3 linked regions of the Saccharomyces cerevisiae S288C genome follow. The protein of the gene in region 2 interacts with the protein of the main gene of each other region in a biochemical or structural test. Each region holds a gene or a part of one and is shown on either strand. Other genes may lie near its edges. The genes, in order: TIF5, SUI3 and GCD6.

Region 1 (4,704 bases), 550 kb from region 2:
GGTCCGCGGAAGGTGGGTGTGGCTGTCCCCGCGCAAATCCGAGATCGATTCCGCGGCGGGTCGGTCATTCTTTTCATTTGCGCGCTAATATGCGCTGTGACTGGCGGTTAGTCATCTGCGTGATCAATCGTTGTCATGACGCTCTATAACGTAAGAGAACTTTAGAGGGGGCTCAATTAGCATGAAGAACAGACACATATATAAGGTCTCTAGATTTCTCCAATAGCTCAACTCTCACAATTGTTTCCTCTAGTCCTTGTAAAATATAAAAAATCATCATCAAACAAGCAACTACAAAACAGCTTTACTGACAACTCACACAAATAACACAAAAAACAAAAATTTCAACAATGGTCGCCTTTTTAGAACTAACTTCTGACGTTTCTCAACCTTTTGTCATCCCATCTCTTTCGCCAGTCTCTCAGCCAAGCTCAAGAAAGAACTCTGACGCAAACGTCGATGACCTGAATCTGGCTATTGCCAATGCCGCTCTTTTGGATGCCTCTGCTTCAAGCCGCTCACACTCCAGAAAAAACTCTTTGTCTCTGTTGTAAGTGTTGTACACGAGAATTAGCACACTATTAGCATAAAAGACACTTGGCATCTTTACTTACTTGGGCAAGTAAGTCACGTACTTTTTTTTTTTTTTCCGGAGCATTCATTGTCATTCTATCTGCACTTTCCCGCACTTACATTCAATAACCTCGGATCGGGTCTCTTCTACGACAGAAACTTTTTGATATATACATATTTATGTAATATAAATACTGAGAAAGTAAAAAAATTTAAAATATAAAATAATAAAAAATTTACTATTACTATAATTGATTAATGTAATCTTTCTTTGTTCAACCGTGCTGTTTAGCCTCCTTCTCGAGAGACACGCGTTTACCGTCGCTGTCACTACATCCACAATCGTAGTCCTCCAGGATGGTAGCACAGTCATATATGTCTTTCTTTAGGTATTCGTTCACCTTGTTGTGAATGTGGCATCCCCACATTGCGGCAGCCGTCCTGCTAGATGTCTGTACGGGATACTTCTCAATCAACTTTACAAAGTGATATGAACATTCCCCGCATGGATAGAGTTCTGCATACAACCCAATAAACGTGTGCAGTTTCTCTCTTTCTTCAGGAGTAGGCTCGTCCGGAAAACGGGCCAGCAGGGTATGGAAGTACTTCCACGACGCCCTGCCCACTTCCTTCTTCACCTTGTCATCGCCCATCAATGGCATAATGGTTTGCTTCTCGATCTCTTTCAACCGAGCGTCGTTCTTCTCAGCAGCCGCCCCTTGCACTTCATCTATACCAGACTTCGCCTTGATTAGGCCCGGCGTAGCGATGGATAGTTCATTAGACGAGAAAAACATCCACAGGCCTATGATTCCTAATGCTGCAACTATTCTGATGGCATGGCTTCTTTTGACTATCTGTTTCATCCCTTCGTTCCTTGCACAATCTGTCCAGACTTTCCTCTTTACAAATCACCAGCCTTCCCGTCTTCTTGTCTTCATCACCCACGTTTATTGTTTAATGATAAAGCCTTTTGTCCTTTATTTTTGGTTCCTTTTCCCGCTTCGTTTACCCGGTGGTTAACCTTTCTCTTCCATCTTGTAATATATAATAACAAAATGCATCACCATACTTACGCACCCCATATACATGACCTAAGGGCAGCTTTAGACACAACAGCTCCCCAGAAAAAATGTCCAAAAGAAACACTCCACCGCTCAGATCATCAGGGATAAACACTATTCAAATAAATGCTGCTAGAGAAATGCACGCTCAAACGGTGCGCGCTCGAAGAATGCCCATGCCAACTAGCGGCATCACTACACCCTCTGTGCAACCAACTGCAGCCCCAGCAACACCACCTCGACATATTTGCAATAACCCAAACAATCCGCAGTGTCTCCACTGTGGGTCTGTTATCATTCCATCTCCAAGGGCCACGTTACCCTTGGAGGACAACCCCTCCATCTCCATCAACGACTGGACCATCTCCTCCAGAAAGAAGCCCATTTTGAACTCGCAGGAATTAGACATCTGGGAAAACGAAAAACTCAAAGGTTTGACTTTGCCAGAGATGATTTTTGGTAACAACTACATCAGGATCGAAAATTCAAAACAGCATTGGTCCATAGAGTTCAATGCCCTGGATGCTTTAAAGGAGGTTCAACTCCAGGATTCAGGTATTCGTGTTGCGTACTCAAACGACTGGATAAATTCTAAAAAAAGACAAAATTCAACTAATGGTGCGCAACGGTTCACTAACGATGTGAACGACGATTCCTTAAATATCATACACAAGTACGACTGGACCTACACTACGCGGTATAAGGGCACAGAGAGCTCACCTGAGTCGAAATTCCGACTGGATAACGATCAAAAGCTGCCCCTTGACAAACTGGCCGTACACGATAAAATCCTATTCTATGACGACATGATTCTTTTCGAAGACGAATTGGCAGACAATGGCATATCAATCCTTAACGTCAAAATAAGAGTTATGAACGAAAGGTTACTGCTGCTGAGCCGGTTCTTTTTAAGGGTGGACGATGTTCTGGTGAGGGTCTACGACACCAGGATTTACGTGGAGTTTGACGAAAACGTAGTGATCAGAGAATCCAAGGAATTTGAAGGTAAATATCAGGATGTACTTGCTAAGCACCGGCTATCCCAATCTCACGACCCAAAAGCTGCCTTGAGAGATAGTAATTGGGTAGCACAGAACACGCCGATGATCAAAAGACAATGTGAAATAATTCAGTTCTAACAATCAAATATACAAAACAATACGTACAAATACATACACGTCACATATACATAAGCTCCGGATACATCATACAAGAAATGATCTTAAAATCATGCTCTTACCCGTTCTGTAAATAGTGAAAAATTTTCATCGCGAAGTATGAACGAAAAAAAAAAAAGAAAATAGATGAACTTTTAGCATTTAATTAGTGGCAAACGCCTACCCCTCCTTCCCACTTTGCTGACTTACAAAGACACCACTACATTAAAGAGTATCTCGTGTGTTCTTCTTTTTTTTCCAAAAAAAAAAACTCCTATTATTTGCATAAACACACGTTCACTGGTACAAGATGTCTATTAATATTTGTAGAGATAATCATGATCCATTTTACCGTTACAAAATGCCTCCCATCCAAGCCAAGGTGGAAGGTAGAGGTAACGGTATCAAGACTGCCGTTTTGAACGTCGCTGACATCTCTCACGCGCTAAATAGACCTGCTCCATATATTGTCAAGTATTTTGGTTTCGAATTAGGTGCTCAAACTTCCATCTCTGTTGACAAAGATCGTTATTTAGTTAATGGTGTTCACGAACCTGCCAAATTGCAAGACGTATTGGATGGCTTTATTAACAAGTTTGTTCTCTGTGGAAGCTGTAAAAATCCAGAAACGGAGATCATCATTACCAAAGATAATGATTTGGTTCGAGACTGTAAAGCCTGTGGTAAGAGAACTCCAATGGACTTGAGACATAAACTATCATCCTTCATTTTGAAAAACCCACCTGACTCCGTTTCTGGTTCCAAGAAGAAGAAGAAAGCAGCTACCGCTTCGGCCAATGTTCGTGGTGGTGGGTTGTCCATTAGTGATATTGCTCAAGGTAAGTCTCAGAATGCACCTTCAGATGGCACCGGCTCATCCACTCCACAACATCATGACGAAGACGAAGATGAATTATCTCGTCAAATCAAGGCGGCTGCCTCTACCTTAGAAGATATCGAGGTCAAAGATGACGAATGGGCGGTTGATATGTCTGAAGAAGCCATTAGAGCTCGTGCCAAGGAACTAGAAGTGAACTCTGAGCTCACTCAACTGGATGAATATGGTGAATGGATTTTGGAGCAGGCTGGTGAAGATAAGGAGAACTTACCATCAGATGTGGAGCTTTATAAGAAGGCTGCAGAACTAGACGTCTTGAATGATCCAAAAATTGGTTGTGTCTTGGCGCAATGTCTATTCGATGAGGATATCGTAAACGAAATCGCTGAACATAATGCATTTTTCACTAAAATTTTAGTCACTCCAGAATACGAAAAGAACTTTATGGGTGGTATTGAAAGATTTTTAGGTTTAGAACATAAGGATCTAATCCCACTATTACCAAAAATTTTGGTACAACTATACAATAATGATATCATCTCGGAAGAAGAAATCATGAGATTTGGTACCAAATCATCCAAGAAATTTGTACCTAAGGAGGTATCCAAAAAGGTTCGTAGGGCTGCTAAGCCATTCATTACGTGGTTAGAAACCGCTGAAAGTGACGATGATGAAGAAGACGACGAATAGCTTAGGAGGGGGCAAAAGACTTATGTGTAAATTATTATATGACATGGCGTAAGATAAGGATTATGTTCTGTTGTTTTTGAGCTCGTTGATGTATAGATATGTAAATATTTATAAATATAATATTTCTTCCAAGTGCGACATACTTGGTACTGGCAAAAAACAAAGATGAGACTTTTAAAGCCACTGATTGATTGATTAATTATTAAGTAAAAAAAAAAAAATAAAATGTCGGTGTAATTTGGCTCCACGATCGCATGCGTATACATAACATGAGATTACCGAAGATTTTTCTGAAAGGTAATGCATTATATTATAATCATTAATAGAAGTAGAGCCTAAAGCCTGTTGAAAACTTGTACAATAGAGGAAAAAAAAAGGGTCA
Region 2 (5,659 bases):
CTTTGCGTGTTTGTTTGTGCTTTTGTTTATAGGACTCTATTTTCTATCAGGTATGATTTCTTGAACTCTAATACAGCGGGAAGAAATGAGGAGGTCACAGATGTTAAGAATTGAAGGGATAAGCTGCATATTTATATGTTTTAGGGGGTGGCGGAAGGACCTGGTTGGTATTAAGATGAGAATTAACCGCTCATAAAACCATGCGCGTGTTTTTCTTCCACGGCGTTCTAGAAAAAAAAGAAAAATTCAAAAAGTTCTGCGAAACTCGAAAGAACCAGAATTGTTCGAACAATATGTGACAAGCGTATGAGTTAATAATCCGATTAAGCTTTATTCCTGTTCTTTTTTACGTGTATGTAAAACTGGTTTATGGATTACTGTGTTGAGAGAGGGGGGGTGACACCCTCCGGAATGTGATATATCACACGCTTGCACGTTGGTTCATATCGTAACCACGAAGAATACAAATACGCACACGCAAGCTAAGTTATATTTTAAAATATTCTGTCATCAAGCTTCCAAATACTTCTAACCATCTCTTATTCTCCTCTTAGTAGCCATTCTTTGCCACGAGGAATAAAAAGTCCCGCGCCACTAATTACAGGAAAAGAAAAATAGGACAATTCCATTTGATGTCACCGTGGTAATATCACCATGAACGATGATATGAAATTTTCATAGAATAAGAAGGAAAAGTAATAAAAGAAAAAGAGAATCTGAGAAAAAATCGATGAGTTAATTATCATTTGTGTAAAACAAAAACGAATTGTAATACGATAGGCAAAATTGTTCGCGCTCTATCTCAAAGAAAGTAATTATTTCCAAATAGAAAAAAAAAATCTACATATACGCAGATATGGGCCTACACAGTGAACCGTTAGATCAAGAGGACCAAGACACCATAATACTCGATGCAAGAGCTGGCGATTTGGATTCTCTGAAAGATATATTTACAACTTTAGTCAGTCCCGAGTTACTTTCGACTTGTAAGGAAAGTGAATCTGATTCTACGGCTTTACATATGGCTGCTGCCAACGGTCATATAGAGACCGTTCGGTATATACTGGAGACGGTTTCTCGCGCAAATAGTGCCGAAGACTTGAAAGCTTTTGTTAATGAGGTGAACAAAACAGGCAACACGGCTTTACATTGGGCGTCGTTGAATGGCAAATTAGACGTGGTCAAGCTACTGTGTGATGAATATGAGGCAGACCCCTTTATTAGAAACAAATTCGGCCACGATGCTATCTTTGAGGCCGAGAACAGCGGGAAGGAAGAAGTGGAAACATACTTTTTGAAGAAGTATGATGTCGAACCTGAAGATGATGAAGAAGACACACAAACTGAGGGCAAGAATTCGGTCCAAATCACAAAGGGTACAGAAATTGAACAAGTCACCAAGGAAGCCACCGAGGCTTTAAGAGAAGAAACCGAGAAACTGAATATAAATAAAGACTAAAGTAAAGAGCTTGTTTTCTTCGTGGAATAAAAGCCGTAATATCCATTGAGCATGATATTTTATTTCTTGGTACCGGAGAAGATAAAAGGATGGAACCAGCAGAAATGCATTAATAAATACAAAAAATTTAGAAAAGAGTTACAGTAATAATGTATATTTCTCTCACAAACTAAGTAACCGCTTCAAAAGCGTATATTTTGAATGCATTGAACTTTCCATTTCATTACCCGCAGAGCCGGAGTCCTCATCAACGACGGAGTGAAAAATTTTGTAATTGCGAGAAAAAGTGAAATTGATGGAAAAAAAGAAAAAGAAAGTAGAAGAAGACATTATAAGAGAGACTAGGAAACTTCTTGCACATCAACCGAAAAGCGCCTAGGCAACCAGTCATATAATAAGCACGCACGAGATGTCCTCCGATTTAGCTGCTGAGTTAGGATTCGACCCTGCACTAAAGAAGAAAAAGAAGACTAAGAAGGTGATCCCAGATGATTTTGATGCTGCCGTAAACGGCAAAGAAAATGGTTCAGGAGATGATTTATTTGCCGGATTAAAAAAGAAAAAGAAGAAGTCCAAGAGCGTTTCTGCCGATGCTGAAGCTGAAAAAGAGCCTACTGACGACATAGCAGAAGCCTTGGGTGAACTATCCTTGAAGAAGAAAAAGAAAAAGACAAAGGACAGCAGTGTAGACGCGTTTGAGAAAGAACTAGCTAAAGCTGGTCTAGATAATGTGGATGCTGAAAGCAAAGAAGGCACTCCAAGTGCTAATTCCAGCATTCAACAAGAAGTTGGCCTACCTTATTCAGAGTTATTATCTAGATTTTTCAATATTCTAAGAACTAACAATCCAGAACTTGCTGGTGATAGAAGTGGTCCAAAGTTCAGAATTCCTCCTCCTGTTTGTTTGCGTGATGGTAAGAAGACTATTTTCTCGAATATCCAAGATATCGCCGAAAAATTGCATAGATCTCCGGAACATTTGATTCAATATCTCTTCGCAGAATTAGGTACGTCCGGTTCTGTTGACGGTCAGAAAAGATTAGTCATTAAGGGTAAGTTTCAATCCAAACAAATGGAGAATGTCTTAAGAAGATACATTTTGGAGTATGTCACTTGTAAAACTTGTAAGAGTATTAACACCGAATTGAAGAGAGAACAGTCAAACAGACTGTTCTTTATGGTCTGTAAAAGTTGTGGTTCTACCAGATCCGTCTCTTCTATTAAAACCGGTTTCCAAGCTACCGTTGGTAAGAGAAGGAGAATGTGATGTTGGTGCTTTACCTGTTAGCATATATATAATAAATACGGATTTCGTTTATCTTGTGTATTTTATTCGTTTCATTAGATATTTAATGTTTAAATGAAGAAAAACTTAAAGTAAAAATTTTCATTCACAAAATAAATCTAAACAGCGGTAGGTAATCTTCATTGATCAGAGTGAACACATTGCATGGAGCCAGCCAATCATCGTGTCCTGTTTACTTCCCAAGGACAGGAAAAAGCTTTGAGAAGCAAAACCGATCAAGTGTCTAAATCTTGTAAAAGATTTAATAATTGGCTGGTAGTAGGCCTTTGTATAGGATCCACTTGAATGCATTTCTTGATTACACTCAAAAGCCCCTCAGAAAATCTGGAATTTCTCGGGAAACTGTACTTACCAGTGTTTATAGCGTAGGTTAAAGAAGCTCCATGTATCTGCTCTTCTCGCTCAAAGGGGGAGATACCGAACATTAAAGTATAGAACGTACAACCCAAAGACCAAATATCAACCTTAGAGCTCAAAACCTGATTTAATTTCAAGTTCAGAAGTTCTGGTGGAGTATATGGCAACGTACAATTGTCATTGACCCATTCTTGTAGTTCGCTGAGTTGATGTCTGTTTTCAATTGTTATATCAGCTTGAGAGCAGGAGCCGAGGTCACCAATTACTGGTAAACCGTCTGAAGAGAACAAAATGTTTGAAGGTGTAATATCGCGATGTGCATATGCTATTGAACCTGCTGAGTTGGAGGAAAGCATGTCCATCTCTAAGGGGGTGTCTTCTAGGAGCATCGCCGTTTCATCGCTATAAGTCATAGAAACCGCATCGACATTTACTCTGGAAGTAGCGTTATCTTGTCTTGACGCAGGATCATGTAAACAAAGTAAACCTCTTGTAACTCCAAGCATTATCCTTACGCATTCTGCCTCTGATACAAAGGTGCCCTCGAGTAACCTCCGATTAATAGAGTCTTGTAAACTCCCTAATGAATAATAGGGTAGTACTATGTAAATTGTTTTTGACCCATCTTTTTCCTGCATTACTTGTGAGTCGATACTTTTTATAACATAAGGACTTTGAAACCGTTTGTAATTTTCAATTTCTCGCATACCATTGGATATACTTTCCACACTAGGACAAATAATCTTCTTTAGTGCGTATAATTCTGGTGTTGCGATGCCGTTGTCTATAATCAGAGAATTCTTTGACAGTTGTACCAAATACACAAAGGACATTCCACCTTCTCCAAGTAGTCGTTGAATCCTATATCGTTTATCATTTACCCTAATAGTAGCATCGGAAAATCCGCGACAGCAGCACAAGTTCTGGAACAATTCCAATACAATAGAAATCATTGATCGGATAAGATGGTACAATCGTTATTTTATCCCTAGTCAGTCGCTGAGATTACAGGCTCTTTTTGTCTACTCTCTGTTTCGTCTTTTTGGAGAAAGTATGGTTCAACATCTTACAAAACCAGATACCGAAAATGTCCCTAACTCGGTGTCATAAGACAGGACTTATCAAAACAGAAAGGATCTTGCAAAAAAGAAAAAGAGCAAATTATGTAAACTTTGGGGGTCAACACAGTTGTATCAGTCGTATTGGTTAGACCCAATATAGCGGTTTTCTTTACTTCTTTGTTTCTACACTTATTAAAGTCTATTTAACTCCCTTTCACGTGATCAGTTTGAAAGAAACGTGAAAATTATTTTTTTCAGCGAACTTTTTGAAGGTTTTCAATAGAAGATGAAAGCTAAATGAAGACTGTACATTCACACGGGAAACGAGAGAAAGAAGTTCAGTTAGTTGAAGCCAGCAATACTACTTTCTCTAGCAGTCTAGCACAAGTTACTTTGAAAGGAAATAAAAAAAATTGTCAGCATGTCGATTCAAACTAGTGATCCAAATGAAACATCAGATTTAAAGTCGTTATCTTTAATTGCTGCCCACTCCCATATTACAGGTTTAGGTCTAGATGAAAACTTGCAACCACGTCCCACATCCGAAGGTATGGTTGGGCAATTGCAAGCCCGTCGTGCTGCTGGTGTGATATTGAAAATGGTTCAAAATGGCACCATAGCAGGTAGGGCTGTTTTGGTAGCGGGCCCCCCTTCAACTGGTAAGACCGCTCTTGCCATGGGTGTTTCCCAGTCTCTGGGTAAAGATGTACCATTCACTGCTATTGCGGGCTCAGAAATCTTTTCTTTAGAATTGAGTAAAACTGAAGCACTAACTCAAGCTTTTAGGAAATCCATCGGTATCAAAATCAAGGAGGAGACAGAATTGATTGAAGGTGAAGTCGTGGAAATTCAAATTGATAGATCTATTACTGGTGGACACAAACAAGGAAAATTGACTATTAAAACTACCGATATGGAAACAATTTATGAATTAGGCAATAAAATGATTGATGGCCTAACTAAAGAAAAGGTATTGGCTGGCGATGTTATTTCTATTGATAAAGCTAGTGGGAAGATTACCAAGCTAGGCAGATCCTTTGCTAGATCTAGGGATTATGATGCCATGGGTGCTGATACCAGATTTGTTCAATGTCCGGAAGGCGAACTGCAAAAAAGGAAAACAGTGGTTCACACGGTGTCACTGCATGAAATTGATGTTATTAATTCAAGAACACAAGGATTTTTGGCATTATTTACTGGTGACACCGGTGAAATTAGGTCAGAGGTAAGAGACCAGATAAACACAAAAGTGGCAGAATGGAAAGAAGAAGGTAAAGCAGAAATTGTTCCTGGTGTATTATTTATCGACGAAGTCCACATGTTGGATATAGAATGTTTTTCCTTTATAAATAGGGCTTTGGAAGATGAGTTTGCCCCAATCGTCATGATGGCTACAAATAGAGGAGTTTCCAAAACCAGAGGGACTAATTACAAATCTCCACATGGGTTACCTCTCGATCTTTTGGATAGGTCAAT
Region 3 (6,740 bases), on a different chromosome or scaffold from region 2:
TTGAGTGTTGTTATGATTTTCTTATTTGCATTTAAGTCTTTGCTGAACAATATCATATCATCAACGAATAAGCAAATTGTTACTTGACTATTCTTAAATACGCATGACCATCCACGAACTTCTTCCATACCACACTGTTTTATCAGGTATGATTTGATAGTTTCGTACCAGTTCGCTCCACTTTGTTTCAATCCATAAAGTGATTTCTTCAAACGTATCAACTTATCATTCATTCCTAAATGTGGTGGAGGTCTTATGTATAATTCTTCTTTGATGTCTGCATACAAATATGCCGAAGATATGTCTAATTGTGTAATATAGTAGTTATTGTCTAATGCAAGTGACAGGGATGTCATCAACGCATAATGATGTACAGTGTTGGATTGCATACCTGTATCGTACGTATCAGGATGCTGAATGTCACCTCTTGCAACAAATCTAGCTTTATGAGTTCCGTCACGTTTCTTGTTGAAGATAAACATTGAGTTTATTACTCTTTTAGGGTCTATTTCTTTTCTGTCATAATATTTGTCAGTGTCCCAAGTATTCATTTTCAATAGTTGGTTGACTTCTTTGTGGTATGCTTCGATATATTTTTCCTTTTCTTTAATATCTTTATTATAGGTGATTGCCTCATCGTATCTTAAAGTTGTCCGTATTGGTTTGATTGATTTTACTGCTTTTACAGCTGCAATCAGGTGAATTCGTTTCTTCGATCTCGGAGGTTCTAAACTACGCATATTCTTAGTATTCCATGTGTCTCGTGATACCTTAATTTCAGTTTCATTATCTTCTAATGATCTTTTCTTACTGTTGATAGTAGTATAGGCATTAGAGTCACCAATACCACCCAAACTGGAATTAGTTTGATGAGAATTTATCGGTGGGAGTTCTTTAAATGGGTCAGGGAATTCGGTAGGAGATTCTGGAGGTAGATCAGGGAGTGGGAGATCAGCGATGATAGATTCCTCGGTATTCTGTTCAGAAACAGTAGTTGGCGTTTTGATAGGAACAATATTGTGCGATGAATTATTTTCCGGTGGAGAAGCATCGATTGAAGGTGAACGGTGTATAATCCTTTTCTCAGTCTCTTGGTCACTTATCTGCGGAACAGTTTTGTTGTTGGTACCACCCGTACTGGATATTGGTACGTTTGTATGATTAGTCTCATTTTCACTGTACGAGTCTGAGTGTCTGAAATCTTTAGATTTACTGGCGTACGACGACTCATGTGTGTTAGATTGGGACATGGGAGCAAGTAAAGGAACATCTAATCTATGCATACCACCCGAATCGGTACTCTCGATATCGGAAATTTGGGGGGTGCTAGATCTCTTCTTAGATGGAAGAATATTAGATTCAGATATGTTGGGGTCAACTTCTCTGGGTGCGCGAATATTGGTTTTAGAAACACGTTTCGAATCTTCAGTATGAGTTGACGGGGGTGTGGAATCGGTTGGACTCACAGCTTTTGAAAGGACATTTCTCGGTTGCTCAGGATATAGTTCAATATCAGATTGAAAGTCATGGTCTGATTCTATGTTAAGATCATTGGATTGTTGGATCTCATTTGACGCAATGAACGATTGATATGAAGCAGTTAAACGGTTTAAGTCTTCATCGAAAGTGAGTGCGTCGTAATTGAATTGATCTAATCTGGAGTCCTTGCCCTGAAGAATAACATAGTTAGTTGTATCTACTGTCTTCTTTAAGGATGGAAGATAGATGATATATCCATAAGAGTTTCGAGACGGATGTAGAGCGTAGCCTGGGATGCCACGAGGATGTATTTTGGAGTTAGGGTTGTGATCATTGACGATAACAGGTTGACCGAAAGGTAACAAAGTACTGATATCAAGTCCTGCCAAGCCAGCATGTTGTCTTGCAGATTTTTTGCTTTTAGGTGAAGCTAGTGAATTTCTCACAATAGTAGAAAATTCGATTGCAGAGAACCATAAATGGTTCGGTAAACCACTACATTGCAGTTGAGTACGGCAGTCATCTAATAAGGTACGGTTTAGCCGTTCAGCGACTCCATGTGCTCGGGAATCCGCTGTGGTTGTATAGCATGGAGTTATACCATTTTTTTCAAGGAATTTATGGAGAGTTCTGTTAGTATACTCAGAACCACGGTCCATTTGTATAACCAAGACACTGGCCTGAAACTGGTTTTTAATAAAAGCTAGTATCGTAGTAAAAACATCGAGGATAGAGTCCTCGCGACGGTCGTGTAATGGATAAACCCAACGGAATTTTGTTGTCTCATCAGTAAATGAGATGAAATAGGATGGTGCACTATTTGGTAGGTTGTGAACTGGACCAAATATGTCAGTATGTAGGTATTGAAAGGGTTCGTATGAATTTTGGTATTTTAGTCGTGAACCTTTGATATGTCTGTGTTTGGTGCTTTTGCCGATTAAACAATCAGGACATTGATAGTCAATAGCACTAGACCAGTCGACATCTGATTCGTTAAAATACGTGATGGTGTTATTTTTAAGTGAGTATCGAATTGTCTGTGCATTGGCATGCGCAAGCATTCGATGAATGAAAGGATAAGGATATTTGCGTGTACTTTCACTTGTATGGACATTATTGATGGTGGGTACGGAGATATTTGATGGAAGCAAGTACTTTTTAGATACCCAGTAAAAGTCTCCATATTTTACGATAGGTGCAAGTACAGTGCCGTCAGATCGTTCTAAGACGTTTTTGGTAAAGCATGCTGTGATATCTACTGCAGCCAATTCATTCAAACTGAGTAAGTCATAGGCTATGTTAGGAGTGTGCAATACCTTTATTGATGTTTTGGTGTTGTCCTGGAAGTGAAATTGTAGGTCACCAATAGCGTTAATTGGTATATTTCTTTTTTGAGCATCAACTACGTTTATGTCAGGATTAGATGATGCTGAGTGTATGTGATGAGCAGATCTTATAAGGGTTCGTGATGCTCCTGAATCGAGAAGGAGGTGTCCAGGGAGTTCATCATCAGAATGATTAGTATGATTTACTGTAGATTCAGTAAGTTTCTGGCCTAAGATGAAGGTCGTGCTTATTGTTCAATTGAATCGGTTCAGTAGTTGATTTACTGATGGAATCGTTGTCCGTGCTGGGAGAGTTAATAGATGTGGATACATTGTGAGCCCTGGCTGTTTTCGATTTCGAATTATTTGTTTTTTGAGGATTCCGAGCTATAACTTTGGGTTTGGTTGTATTCGTATAGCTGCGAGAATCATTCTTCTCATCACTCCGATTTCTCCTGTAATTAGGTTTGCTGTTTCTCGATCCCTGTTGTTCTTCATAAATAGCATGGATATCTAAGAACAGTTCAGCGACTGTCATATTTAGATGTCGATGACGTGTGTAGCGTAAAAATTTATATTCGCCAGATAGACCTCTCATAATTAATTGGCATGCGACCTTGTTATTGATATGAATGCCATTATTGTTCAGTCTGTCGATAATGTTTGTGACTTTTGTTTCAAATGCATCTGCAGGTGTACTGCCATTATATTGCAAATTTGCCAGGGTCACAATGTCGTTTGCCTCTTGGGTATCAGATTGCATTTTTTCAATACTTTTGGAAAGAATTTTCATGATATCCGTATAATCAACGGATAGGATGTCTTTGACCCAGGTAGGTAGGAATTGAGAGGGAGCAAATATTTGAAAAGTGTTATACAAGAAGGTGAGTTCATCATCAGTGATCTGACGTACGGGTTTTCCGTTTACTGTCGGAATAATACCACCGAGATTCGAGTTTTGTAAAAATTTGATGTATGTTTTAACCCAATTTGGAAAGTCATTAGGTGAGGTTAACATTGGTGGTGGTCTGACATATTTTTTAGTGGATGTCATATCAGAGTCCGCTGAGGATGAATCAGTAAATGTATTACCTGACTCAGGTGATGGAGTGCTCAGAGGCGTTCCAACTGATGATGGATACTGCGGAAACTGTGATTGTGGCCCAGGTGGAAAGTACATAGGCGACATTTGATAAGGTGTATACGGAATCATAGATGGGTGTCCGTAAAATGACCAACCAGATGGATTGGCTTGGTTTTGGGTCATCATGCACTGCTGTGGGTACGGCCCATTCTGTGGAGGTGGTACTGAAGCAGGTTGAGGAGAGGCATGATGGGGGTTCTCTGGAACAGCTGATGAAGCAGGTGTTGTTGTCTGTTGAGAGTTAGCCTTAGTGGAAGCCTTATCATATTCTTGAATTTTGGAAGCTGAAACGTCTAACGGATCTTGATTTGTGTGGACTTCCTTAGAAGTAACCGAAGCACAGGCGCTACCATGAGATATATGTGGGTAATTAGATAATTGTTGGGATTCCATTGTTGATAAAGGCTATAATATTAGGTATACAGAATATACTAGAAGTTCTCCTCGAGGATTTAGGAATCCATAAAAGGGAATCTGCAATTCTACACAATTCTATAAATATTATTATCATCGTTTTATATGTTAATATTCATTGATCCTATTACATTATCAATCCTTGCGTTTCAGCTTCCACTAATTTAGATGACTATTTCTCATCATTTGCGTCATCTTCTAACACCGTATATGATAATATACTAGTAACGTAAATACTAGTTAGTAGATGATAGTTGATTTTTATTCCAACAATGGCCTCTTTAACACTAATATCCCGACAATTTTCCCAAAATTCAAAGAATTCTCAGAAAGAGCTATTTTTTTTTTTAATAAAATTATTAGTACTAATTCCAGTATAAATAACAATGTTATTTACGTCTCTTTCGAAAATGCTCGTGTAGCTCAGTGGTTAGAGCTTCGTGCTTATAGCAACATTCGGTTTCCGAAGTTTCTGTGCCAAAGACCTTTCAAACAGGCCTTTAAAAGCAACGCGACCGTCGTGGGTTCAAACCCCACCTCGAGCACTTTCTCTTTTTTTTTCACACGCGTTTGCAACATGCCCGTATTACATGAGCTTATTTGACTTTAGATGGTTTTCAGTTCTTTTTTTTTTTTTTTTTTTTTTCAGTAGATTAATGCGAAGAGTTAAATCACCAATTCAAAGATGGCAGATGGACCACCTTGTGGGATAAGTATAAAAATAACTAAAAGTGGTCTTGTGTTAAAAATAGAATAGAAACCACTCATAAGGCAAAAGATGGCTGGAAAAAAGGGACAAAAGAAAAGTGGACTAGGCAACCATGGAAAGAACTCTGATATGGATGTTGAAGATCGTCTCCAGGCCGTTGTCTTGACAGACTCTTATGAAACTAGGTTTATGCCACTGACAGCTGTCAAGCCAAGGTGTTTGCTGCCACTGGCTAACGTACCTCTCATTGAATACACCTTAGAATTTTTGGCTAAGGCTGGCGTACATGAAGTTTTCTTAATTTGCTCTTCTCATGCCAACCAAATTAATGACTATATTGAGAATTCTAAGTGGAACTTGCCTTGGTCTCCATTTAAAATTACCACCATTATGTCTCCAGAAGCTAGATGTACGGGTGATGTTATGAGAGATCTAGATAATAGAGGTATCATTACTGGAGATTTTATTTTAGTCAGTGGTGATGTATTGACTAACATCGATTTCAGCAAAATGCTAGAATTTCACAAAAAAATGCATTTGCAAGATAAAGATCACATCTCGACAATGTGTTTGAGCAAAGCGAGTACCTATCCAAAAACAAGAACTATTGAGCCTGCCGCATTTGTCTTAGACAAATCCACCAGTAGGTGTATTTATTACCAAGATTTACCATTACCAAGCTCTAGAGAGAAGACTTCCATTCAGATTGACCCAGAATTGTTGGATAATGTCGATGAATTTGTCATAAGGAATGACCTCATCGATTGTAGAATTGACATTTGTACATCTCATGTACCTTTGATATTTCAAGAAAATTTTGACTACCAATCATTAAGGACAGACTTTGTTAAAGGTGTCATTTCAAGCGATATATTGGGAAAGCATATATATGCCTATTTGACGGACGAATATGCTGTAAGAGTTGAAAGTTGGCAAACTTACGACACCATTTCTCAAGACTTTTTAGGTAGATGGTGTTATCCCTTGGTCTTAGACTCTAACATACAGGACGATCAAACGTATTCTTATGAATCAAGACATATATACAAGGAAAAAGACGTTGTTTTGGCCCAATCCTGTAAAATTGGTAAGTGCACTGCAATTGGATCAGGAACAAAAATCGGAGAGGGTACGAAAATTGAGAATTCCGTGATTGGAAGGAACTGCCAAATCGGTGAAAATATTAGAATCAAGAACAGTTTCATTTGGGATGACTGTATCATCGGAAATAACAGTATAATTGACCATTCATTAATTGCCTCTAATGCCACGTTAGGGAGTAATGTACGCCTAAATGATGGCTGTATAATTGGTTTCAACGTTAAAATTGATGATAATATGGATTTAGATAGAAACACAAAAATATCTGCCAGTCCATTAAAAAATGCCGGCTCAAGAATGTATGATAATGAAAGCAATGAGCAGTTTGACCAAGACCTTGATGATCAGACACTAGCCGTTTCTATTGTTGGAGATAAGGGTGTTGGTTATATTTACGAAAGCGAGGTGTCTGACGATGAAGATAGTTCTACAGAAGCCTGCAAAGAAATAAACACTTTGAGTAACCAATTAGATGAGTTATACTTAAGTGACGATTCAATTTCTTCCGCCACTAAAAAGACAAAGAAAAGAAGAACGATGTCTGTCAATAGTATATACACGGATAGAG

What was found.
Region 1: the proteins of SUI3 (region 2) and TIF5 form a complex in vitro, tested with the Saccharomyces cerevisiae proteins (6 studies listed by BioGRID, with this or other methods).
Region 3: the proteins of SUI3 (region 2) and GCD6 form a complex in vitro, tested with the Saccharomyces cerevisiae proteins (4 studies listed by BioGRID).

Annotation. Positions count from the first base shown.
Region 1 is NC_001148.4:645,600-650,303, forward strand, and holds TIF5 (translation initiation factor eIF5), read left to right. Parts: upstream 1-3,104; coding exon 3,105-4,322; downstream 4,323-4,704. Other genes in the region: SPO24 (Spo24p), read left to right, coding at 351-554; ERV2 (flavin-linked sulfhydryl oxidase), read right to left, coding at 849-1,439; IRC16 (Irc16p), read left to right, coding at 1,237-1,596; TIP41 (Tip41p), read left to right, coding at 1,706-2,776. UniProt on the Saccharomyces cerevisiae protein: Catalyzes the hydrolysis of GTP bound to the 40S ribosomal initiation complex (40S.mRNA.Met-tRNA[F].eIF-2.GTP) with the subsequent joining of a 60S ribosomal subunit resulting in the release of eIF-2 and the guanine nucleotide.
Region 2 is NC_001148.4:98,628-104,286, forward strand, and holds SUI3 (translation initiation factor eIF2 subunit beta), read left to right. Parts: upstream 1-1,868; coding exon 1,869-2,726; downstream 2,727-5,659. Other genes in the region: YAR1 (Yar1p), read left to right, coding at 857-1,459; putative serine/threonine protein kinase ENV7, read right to left, coding at 2,981-4,075; RVB2 (RuvB family ATP-dependent DNA helicase reptin), read left to right, coding at 4,605-5,659. UniProt on the Saccharomyces cerevisiae protein: Component of the eIF2 complex that functions in the early steps of protein synthesis by forming a ternary complex with GTP and initiator tRNA.
Region 3 is NC_001136.10:879,587-886,326, forward strand, and holds the start of GCD6 (translation initiation factor eIF2B catalytic subunit epsilon), read left to right. Parts: upstream 1-5,140; coding exon 5,141-6,740. Other genes in the region: YDR210C-C (gag protein), read right to left, coding at 3,019-4,341. UniProt on the Saccharomyces cerevisiae protein: Acts as a catalytic component of the translation initiation factor 2B (eIF2B) complex, which catalyzes the exchange of GDP for GTP on eukaryotic initiation factor 2 (eIF2) and is regulated by phosphorylated eIF2.